Styela clava: one gene and its partner. The main gene of each other region encodes a partner of the protein of the gene in region 2 in a complex. Links are inferred from orthologs where the notes say so. Each region holds a gene or a part of one and is shown on either strand. Other genes may lie near its edges.

Region 1 (3,932 bases), about 5.8 Mb from region 2:
ATAACATAAAATATGTGATAAACTGCCACCTATGAATAAATTGGAGTCGTATTTTTGCGATCTTGGAATTTGTCAAACTTGATTTGTTCTTTTGCACTCGAGATTATTATTAAGCAAGATATCGCCGTTAAAAAAATCACAAGATCTGGGCAAAATACGATTGAAATTTATTTTAATGCATGCGGCTCCGTCGGTAGTTTCAGAATAAAAAAAAGATAAATCGCGCACACAATTGACTGTGTTTCGATTTCTCAGTTACTGTACTACGAATAACCAAAGAAAACCTAACATTACACCAAATTTTGTGATTTACAATGCCTATAAAAGCGTTTTTAATCTGACGTGAGTCTGCTAAAACCAAACTTATAGTGTGATCTTTTATTTTGAAATTTAATATTTTGGAATGCCGTTTTTCAATCAAGAAATTTGAGTTGCGGATTTACCTCTTTATTATTAATTATTATTTTTAGCATTTCGTCGCCGATGACTATATATGGTAACATGTTTTTCACATTGAACTCATAATAAATTGCAATTATCGTCGTCATTGTGGAACAATACGTCTATAAGCCGAAGAAAATTTTTGATTTAGGGAGAATAAACACTGGCGTAAAGATGTTTAACATGCCATGCTGACGAAAACTATCGGTGATTGTAACAAAATGCAATCGCGCACGTTATTAGCAGCCTTTTAGTTTTAAGTCTTCCGAAAATGTCAAAAGGGAAAAGATTCGACCCCTAGTTTATTAATATGTTTGTCAAGCGTCAAATTTACAGCTTTAGTAAGAGTATATATAATTTATCTTTGAAATTTTGATTTATTTATGACTTGCATTAACCCCATCAAAAAAAGGTTTAGCCTTTAAATTAAGTTAAGTACTTTTAACTTACTCAGGAATATTTATCGGAAAGCTACAATTTTAACATTTCTTTTGGGGCTCCGCGAATAATGGTCAACCTTTTCAGGGGCTCCGCAACACCAAAAGTTTGAGAACCCCTGCCCTAAGAGATCAAAAATAGTGAAAAAGTGAATACTTTAAGGGAAAGTATTGCGACAAACAGATCAGATTTTTCCATTATTGCAAGGTACAGCTATGATTGAATTCCCATTTTTCCTTCTACCTATTGTCATTCAAAGACATAAACCAAACACCGGTGTTGTCAAGACTGTACTGCTGTGAGCATACTGATGAAGAAATATCTTAGGGTTACATGGCCACAACTTTGGCAGAAGGGTCGCATTTATTTTGCATTTTAAATTTGGCGCGGAAGGCAGTTCTCGACAAAAGCATTTAATTGAAATCAAACCTGCTATATTTTCAACTAGGCAGATATGTCTCATGCCAAATAGGGTATAGAGTTCCGCATGAGACAGACTTTAAAAAAAAAATTGGGCTGTACTTCACATTACATTTTTGTTTGTCTTTATTTAAGCAGTTACAGAGTCAACTTTGCTAGAACCCGTTAGCGATGTCAAGCTGCTGGGCTGTGATAAAGAAGTGATAATCTCATACAGGGCCATTTTTTTTTCGGAATATTACGGTACATGCTGACATGGCTATTGTCTGATTGCTGGATTGTTAAATATGAAGGAATTGGAATAACGAAAACAAAAATACTGAAATAGGATAATATTTATGTATCATCCCGGGGTGAGGGAAGCCGATAAAACGACTTAATCATATAGCGAACCACGGCCTCTCGTCTGGTTACTAGTCCATGTCGAGTATGGGATTCGTTAGCCAGTTCAACAATTATTTCATTATTTGTTTTCAGCATGGGCTTGACAATTGTATGGAGGCAGATTAATCTAAGTTTGGGGAAATTTGGTTCATTAATGTTCTACGGTATGTGCTGAAGTGACAGAGCTCGACAGTGGCGTAGCCAGGGGGTGGTTTTGCGGGCCGAAAATCCCCTTTTTAAAATGTAAAAAAGATGAAATCAATTTTCCGTATCATGGATAGCAATTTTCCATAGCTTGAAATGCTTTTTAGACCCCCAAGACAACTAAAAAAACGCGTATTCCAGAGTTCGATCGGACTCGTACCGGTAGTAGGTCAGTAGGTACCGGTACCGTATGGTCTTGGTGTGGTTTCGTATGCCGTTAACATTAGGTATTAAGAATTTACATTTAGAACTCACCTTAACAGCATAGTCGATCACTCTCTTCACTCCAACAAGAACTCTGGCCATTTTGGTATAATATTTAACGTGCGACAAATGAAATTTACTGCTAACAGGGGTACAAACAAATTACCGTAACCATAGGTAGACGTGTGCCAAACACCAATGCGAAGCTACACAACTTGGCCTCCCAAAAACCAGACACTTTTAGGCACTATTTCTGGCATATTTTTGAATTTTCTCCGTAGTTAGTTGGGGTTTCAGTTGTTATTAGATCTTGAATAGATTTATACTTTTCTGTATCGAATAGAAATATAATATTCGTTTGTGGAGGTAAATCATTCTTTCCTGGTATAATCAATTTTCCAACCGTAAAATATGGCAACGCTCAGCTCAAAATCAGACGAATGGGCTTTCGTGAAATCTCAGGCACTTCGTAAAATGTTTCTGATTACTTTTAAAAAATAAACTAAATAGACACATTTTGTATGATTGAATTTACATATATTTGGTAAAACAACAAAAACGATTGTGGCTGGAGGAGACGTGTCAAATTTCGCAGGTGTTCGAATTTTCATTCTTCTCGGTGATTTCGCCATATTTTCCAATTTCCATAGATTATTTTTGCCAGAACTTACTATGCTTTACTTTTTTAAATGGAATTTTTTCTAAGACAATTTGAGCATTATCAATACCACAAGAAGCAATACTGTTTGGCAATCTGCAGTCTAACGTCTCAAGTTTTGGATTTATTTGAAAAATTAATTCTAAAATAGGGCAAAGCTGGGCACAAATTTTAAAAAAATCGGGCAATTGTTGATTCAGGGCACTTTGCAACTTTCTGAATACTCCGAAACAGAAATACATATTTCGTATGATCTTTATTTATCGTTGGTCGAAAACAAGAATATATGTGAGTGGTTGGTGTTGAATTTATCAAGTGCCTTTTTATTTAGCAATATATATACAGTAAATCTATTCACGTATTTCATACACGGCATGAACTAATAACCGGACAAGAGGCCGTGGTTCGCCATAGGAATAGTCATCTTATCGGCGTTTCTTTGCCCTGGGATAAATATATAAACCCTACCCCCACACATACATACCTAAAATAAGCACCTGACAGACAAGGTTTTTAGTAAAACTTTATATACGCTGAACAAATTGAATCCAAAGAGCTTCATTACGATGATTTCGTCTGGGGTTAGTGTTGGTAGATTCGTTGATTTGTTCCACTTAAATGAAAAGTGTTGTTTCGATGCAGACATTAGAAATTGGTTCTCCGAAATGCGTAAAAAATAATTTTCGAAACTGGACTTAAATATTCATTCGTATCATATTTTTTGGGGGTTTCTGATAGAAATTGATTAGGTAAGATTTCTCTGTAAAATAATTCTGTTGCTATTCACATGTAAATACATTTATACATTAAATTGTTTGTTGTTAATTATTAATTTTCCACAAACAAAACTAAGCTTTCCTGTATTCCACAAACAAAACTAGGTTTACACCAATGAAGAGAAGCAGGAACTATTCCAGCAAGCTAGTAGAGCCCAATACACAAACATCCAATTTAAGTTAGTCGAATTACTGAAATATTTTCTATTCGATAGCAAGTCGATTCAATTCAATGTGATTTTAAGTTCTGAATCCTATTTCAAATACAAGATCTGCTTCGGCATATTGAAGCTATCGCGTTTCTTACCGCTCAATTTTTTTGACCATTATTACTTGTTTTCTCACTTTATTGTAATCGGAATATTATTAAATCACACCCCTTCTTTAGATGGGATAAATGACACCGC
Region 2 (3,679 bases):
GGTATTGCTTTTTTGGTACTGTAATGAAAACAAGAGAACTATGCTCAAATTTGCGCACTTAGTCCACAACGTACCGCAACCTTCACGACTAACGCAAACGTAACCGCCTCAAGGTGTGCAACTTTTGATGACGTAATCGCACGCAAAAAACGAATTCAATAGGGCCCACAACAGCTTTTCTAAATAAATAAAATTGATAGTCTTCTTGCGACGAATACAATCTTCCACCACTAAAAATTCCAAGGCAATTGGTCCTGCAGTTATTGATAAAAAAAGTACAACCAGAAGCAGAACACACTTCCAATCAAGTTAAAATTCGGGCAAGGCTTCATTCGGTAGCATGTTCAATTCGAGAATTACCATCAACACAAATCCTCGGCAATAAATAGGATTGTACACAGTGGGGCAGATTGTTCGACAACACAAGTAGCATATTCGTGATCGATTGCACTTTGTTGTCTTCGTTTTTGTGGCACAAACAAATGGTGATACGACAGCTATAGCCCATCCTTATTTCTCCGTCATTTAATACAAAAAATCTCGATTCTTGTCATTTTATTTTCAAGTTTACCTTTTCATGGCTGTTCTAATATTTCACAATTCTCCACAAATCGCAACATATTTTTTAGAATGAATTTTGTGACATTATTCATCACAAAAAACGAGCAATGGCCTTTACGCTGTCGGAATCATAAATGTGGTAATATTTTAGGAGAACTTATCCACCTACAGTTACACACAATGCATGGTTGTGAGTTGTGACAGAGCCTGAGATAGAAATCAGCAAATATATATTTTGTTCAAACCATGATTCTAGATCATAAATGTTGTGGAATATATTACAGGCAAGAAATATTATTATTTGATATCGCTTCTGCTTATATTAACCTAATGACTTATTCAGCTTTTCTGTCTCAGACTTTTATTTCTAGGTTCGGGCTACATTTTTTGTTAACGTTGTAGTGTGGAGCATCGTAATTTAGAAATATGTGACTGTTGTTGGAATTAATTTATACCAGACTCATAGTAATCGACGATTCTATTTATTGGATAATTAACCAGAGCCTTGATACTGAATATTTATGATATCACCGCGGATTGTGGCAACCAATTTGAGGCGAGGTATTTGAGTCCGCGGCCTCGGAATTGGGAAACATTGGTATACTATACACTATACAGTATAGTAGCTCATAACATTTGACGTTTAGCTATTGTCGCTAAGTGGCACTCTATGAATATGGTTCGACTGATTGATTTGAACGTCATGCCATATGCCATTAATTAAAGTATTCATATACAATATTGCCATTAATTAAAGTATTCATATACAATATTGATTTAGAATATATAATAATATTGAATGATATCTAAACATATTTTGATAAATGTTCTCTTGCGATTATGATGCGTTGAATCTGAGCTGTTCCTTCGTATATTTGATATATTTTTGCATCTCTCAGCAACTTTTCTACCGGATATTCAGTGTTGAATCCAGCACCACCGAAAATCTGTACCGCATCCGATGCGCATTTATTAGCGACATCACCAGCAAACCCTTTAGCAATTGATGCTTCCATCGTGTTTCGGAATCCATTATCTATTTGCCAGGCAGCTTTATGGGTGGCGAGCCTAGCAAGCTCAATCTGCATTGCCATCTCAGCAAGCATGAAAGAGACGGCCTGATGCTGAGCAATAACTTTTCCCATTGTTCTGCGTTGCAAAGAATATCTGGTCGCCTCATCTAAAGCCCTTTGAGCAAGTCCCAAAGATCCCGATGCAACTGCAGGTCTAGTGTAGTCAAATGCTTTCATAGCAATTTTGAATCCATCTCCTTCGTTTCCCAAAAGGTTTTCTTTTGGTACAAGTACGTCCTCAAAAGTAATTCCTCTTGTATCTGAGCATCGTTGTCCCATATTCACCTCTTTTTTACCAGGAATTACACCAGGCGTATCGGCGTCAACTATGAAACCAGAAAGACATTTTGATGCTGGGAATTTTGGGTCAGTAACGGTTCTTGCTAAAACGAAGTACCAATTGGCTACTCCGCCGTTTGTAATCCACATTTTCTGGCCATTGAGGACGTAATGGTCACCTTTCTTTTCAGCTTTTGTACTTATCGCGGCAACATCGGAACCGGCACCGGGCTCCGTGACCGCATATGCACACATCAGCGGTTCTTCATTCATTCGTCGTAAATATTTACTTTTTTGCTCGTGATTTCCTGCAACAACAACCGGAACTTGTCCCAAGTTATTTGCTTCGAACGCCGTTTGAACTCCGGTACAACCGTACCCAATTTGCTCTGTTACTATACAGATGACAAGTGTGGACAATCCTAATCCGCCGTATTCAACTGGGATATGCAAATTCATAAATCCTAGTTCATGAGCTTTTTTCAGTATTTTCCAGGGATAATCGCCCGTTCGGTCTAGATTTGATGCTCCCGGTATTATTTCCTCTGCTGTAAACTTTTTGACAGCGTCCTGAAACTCTCGTTGCTCATCTGATAACTGGAAGCACAAGCCAGAAGAGGAAGCTGCACTACTGGGGGGTTTGCGAGCCGCCAGAAGAAGCCTCTTGGTATAACTATTCCTAATACTACACAACAATCGGAAATTCGCACCCAGAGTATTCATTGTCAGGCGTCTGTTAGGCAAGCAAAATACTCGTTATTAATAATCGGTAGAAAAAATTGAATAATCCACTTTGTGGAAGCATTAAAAACGAGGGAGGCTCCCAATTAGCCTAGTTCATATGTCTAAGAATTTATGATTATTGCAATGGCTAGCAGCAGGGTTGGATTAACCATTAAGCAAAATGAGCGCGTGCTTGGGGCGCCAATAATTCGAGTTGGTCGACGACACAGACCTCGACATTGGCCTATTTTTCGTTCTCAAATATCATTTAAAACCATTCTATAAATGTTTGTAGGTATGAGGACTATTCCCCAAAAGAACGCCAGGTTCATTATTGATACTTAAGTGCTTAGGTCTTAAGTAAGAGTCCATAAATTTTTTTTATTAATATCTGGGTTTTTAATCATCGATCTCTCGTAAGGAAATGTGCGACAAGGTGGCGAAAATACGTAGTAGTTAAGAGTGTAAAATACGTAGTTCCTAGAGTTTTTAATCGAAACAATTTCATATAAGCAATTGAAATCTTTTCTTCATAAGGCTCTACGCAACTTGTGAAAAGGTAAGCGAAAGAACGTACAATCTATGAATAACTGAAAAAGAGTGAAATAATCCAACTCATTGCAAAATAAAATGACAGCTGACAGAAATGCTTCGGGTTTTACATAATATCATGAAAAACCAAGCTTGAATATCTTGATAAGCAAAGAATTCAAAGCAAGGAATACCATTAACTAGAGAAAATTTGAATGCGGTAATCTGGCATATCAGTCGGAGTGTTTTCAAACCCTATTTTGAGTTTTGTGGAATTTTCTAGTTTCTCGTGGCACGCATTTGTTTTGTTTGAAACGAGTAATGTTTTTCACATGCTGACGACGAAATCGATGTTACATTTCCATTTGTAGCGACGCTTACCGAGCTTAACACACGCATTCGTGAGACATTGAGACTGTTCATCTGTCGGAATAGGGTGCAAGAAACCACTTTTAATTCGTTTTGAAATTTTATTATTGTTACTGCAACGGAAAACGAGAACGGCCTGAGGG

What was found.
Region 1: the proteins of medium-chain specific acyl-CoA dehydrogenase, mitochondrial-like (region 2) and electron transfer flavoprotein subunit beta-like are in contact, whole or in part, in a crystal structure (PDB 2A1T), measured with the Homo sapiens proteins. The link is inferred for Styela clava from reciprocal best matches to the Homo sapiens genes ACADM and ETFB. Residues at the interface, in NP_000007.1 of Homo sapiens: Glu43, Gln44, Lys46, Glu47, Phe48, Thr51, Lys54, Phe55, Glu58, Glu59, Arg80, Glu83, Leu84, Gly85, Leu86, Leu98, Leu100, Ile108; in NP_001976.1 of Homo sapiens: Glu73, Arg76, Thr77, Tyr192, Ala193, Thr194, Leu195, Pro196, Ile198, Met199, Lys202.

What each region holds. Positions count from the first base shown.
Region 1 is NC_135253.1:364,881-368,812, forward strand, and holds the start of electron transfer flavoprotein subunit beta-like, read right to left. Parts: upstream 2,320-3,932; 5' UTR 2,194-2,319; coding exon 2,143-2,193; intron 1-2,142. UniProt on the Homo sapiens protein: Heterodimeric electron transfer flavoprotein that accepts electrons from several mitochondrial dehydrogenases, including acyl-CoA dehydrogenases, glutaryl-CoA and sarcosine dehydrogenase.
Region 2 is NC_135253.1:6,156,851-6,160,529, forward strand, and holds medium-chain specific acyl-CoA dehydrogenase, mitochondrial-like, read right to left. Parts: upstream 2,669-3,679; 5' UTR 2,637-2,668; coding exon 1,368-2,636; 3' UTR 539-1,367; downstream 1-538. UniProt on the Homo sapiens protein: Medium-chain specific acyl-CoA dehydrogenase is one of the acyl-CoA dehydrogenases that catalyze the first step of mitochondrial fatty acid beta-oxidation, an aerobic process breaking down fatty acids into acetyl-CoA and allowing the production of energy from fats.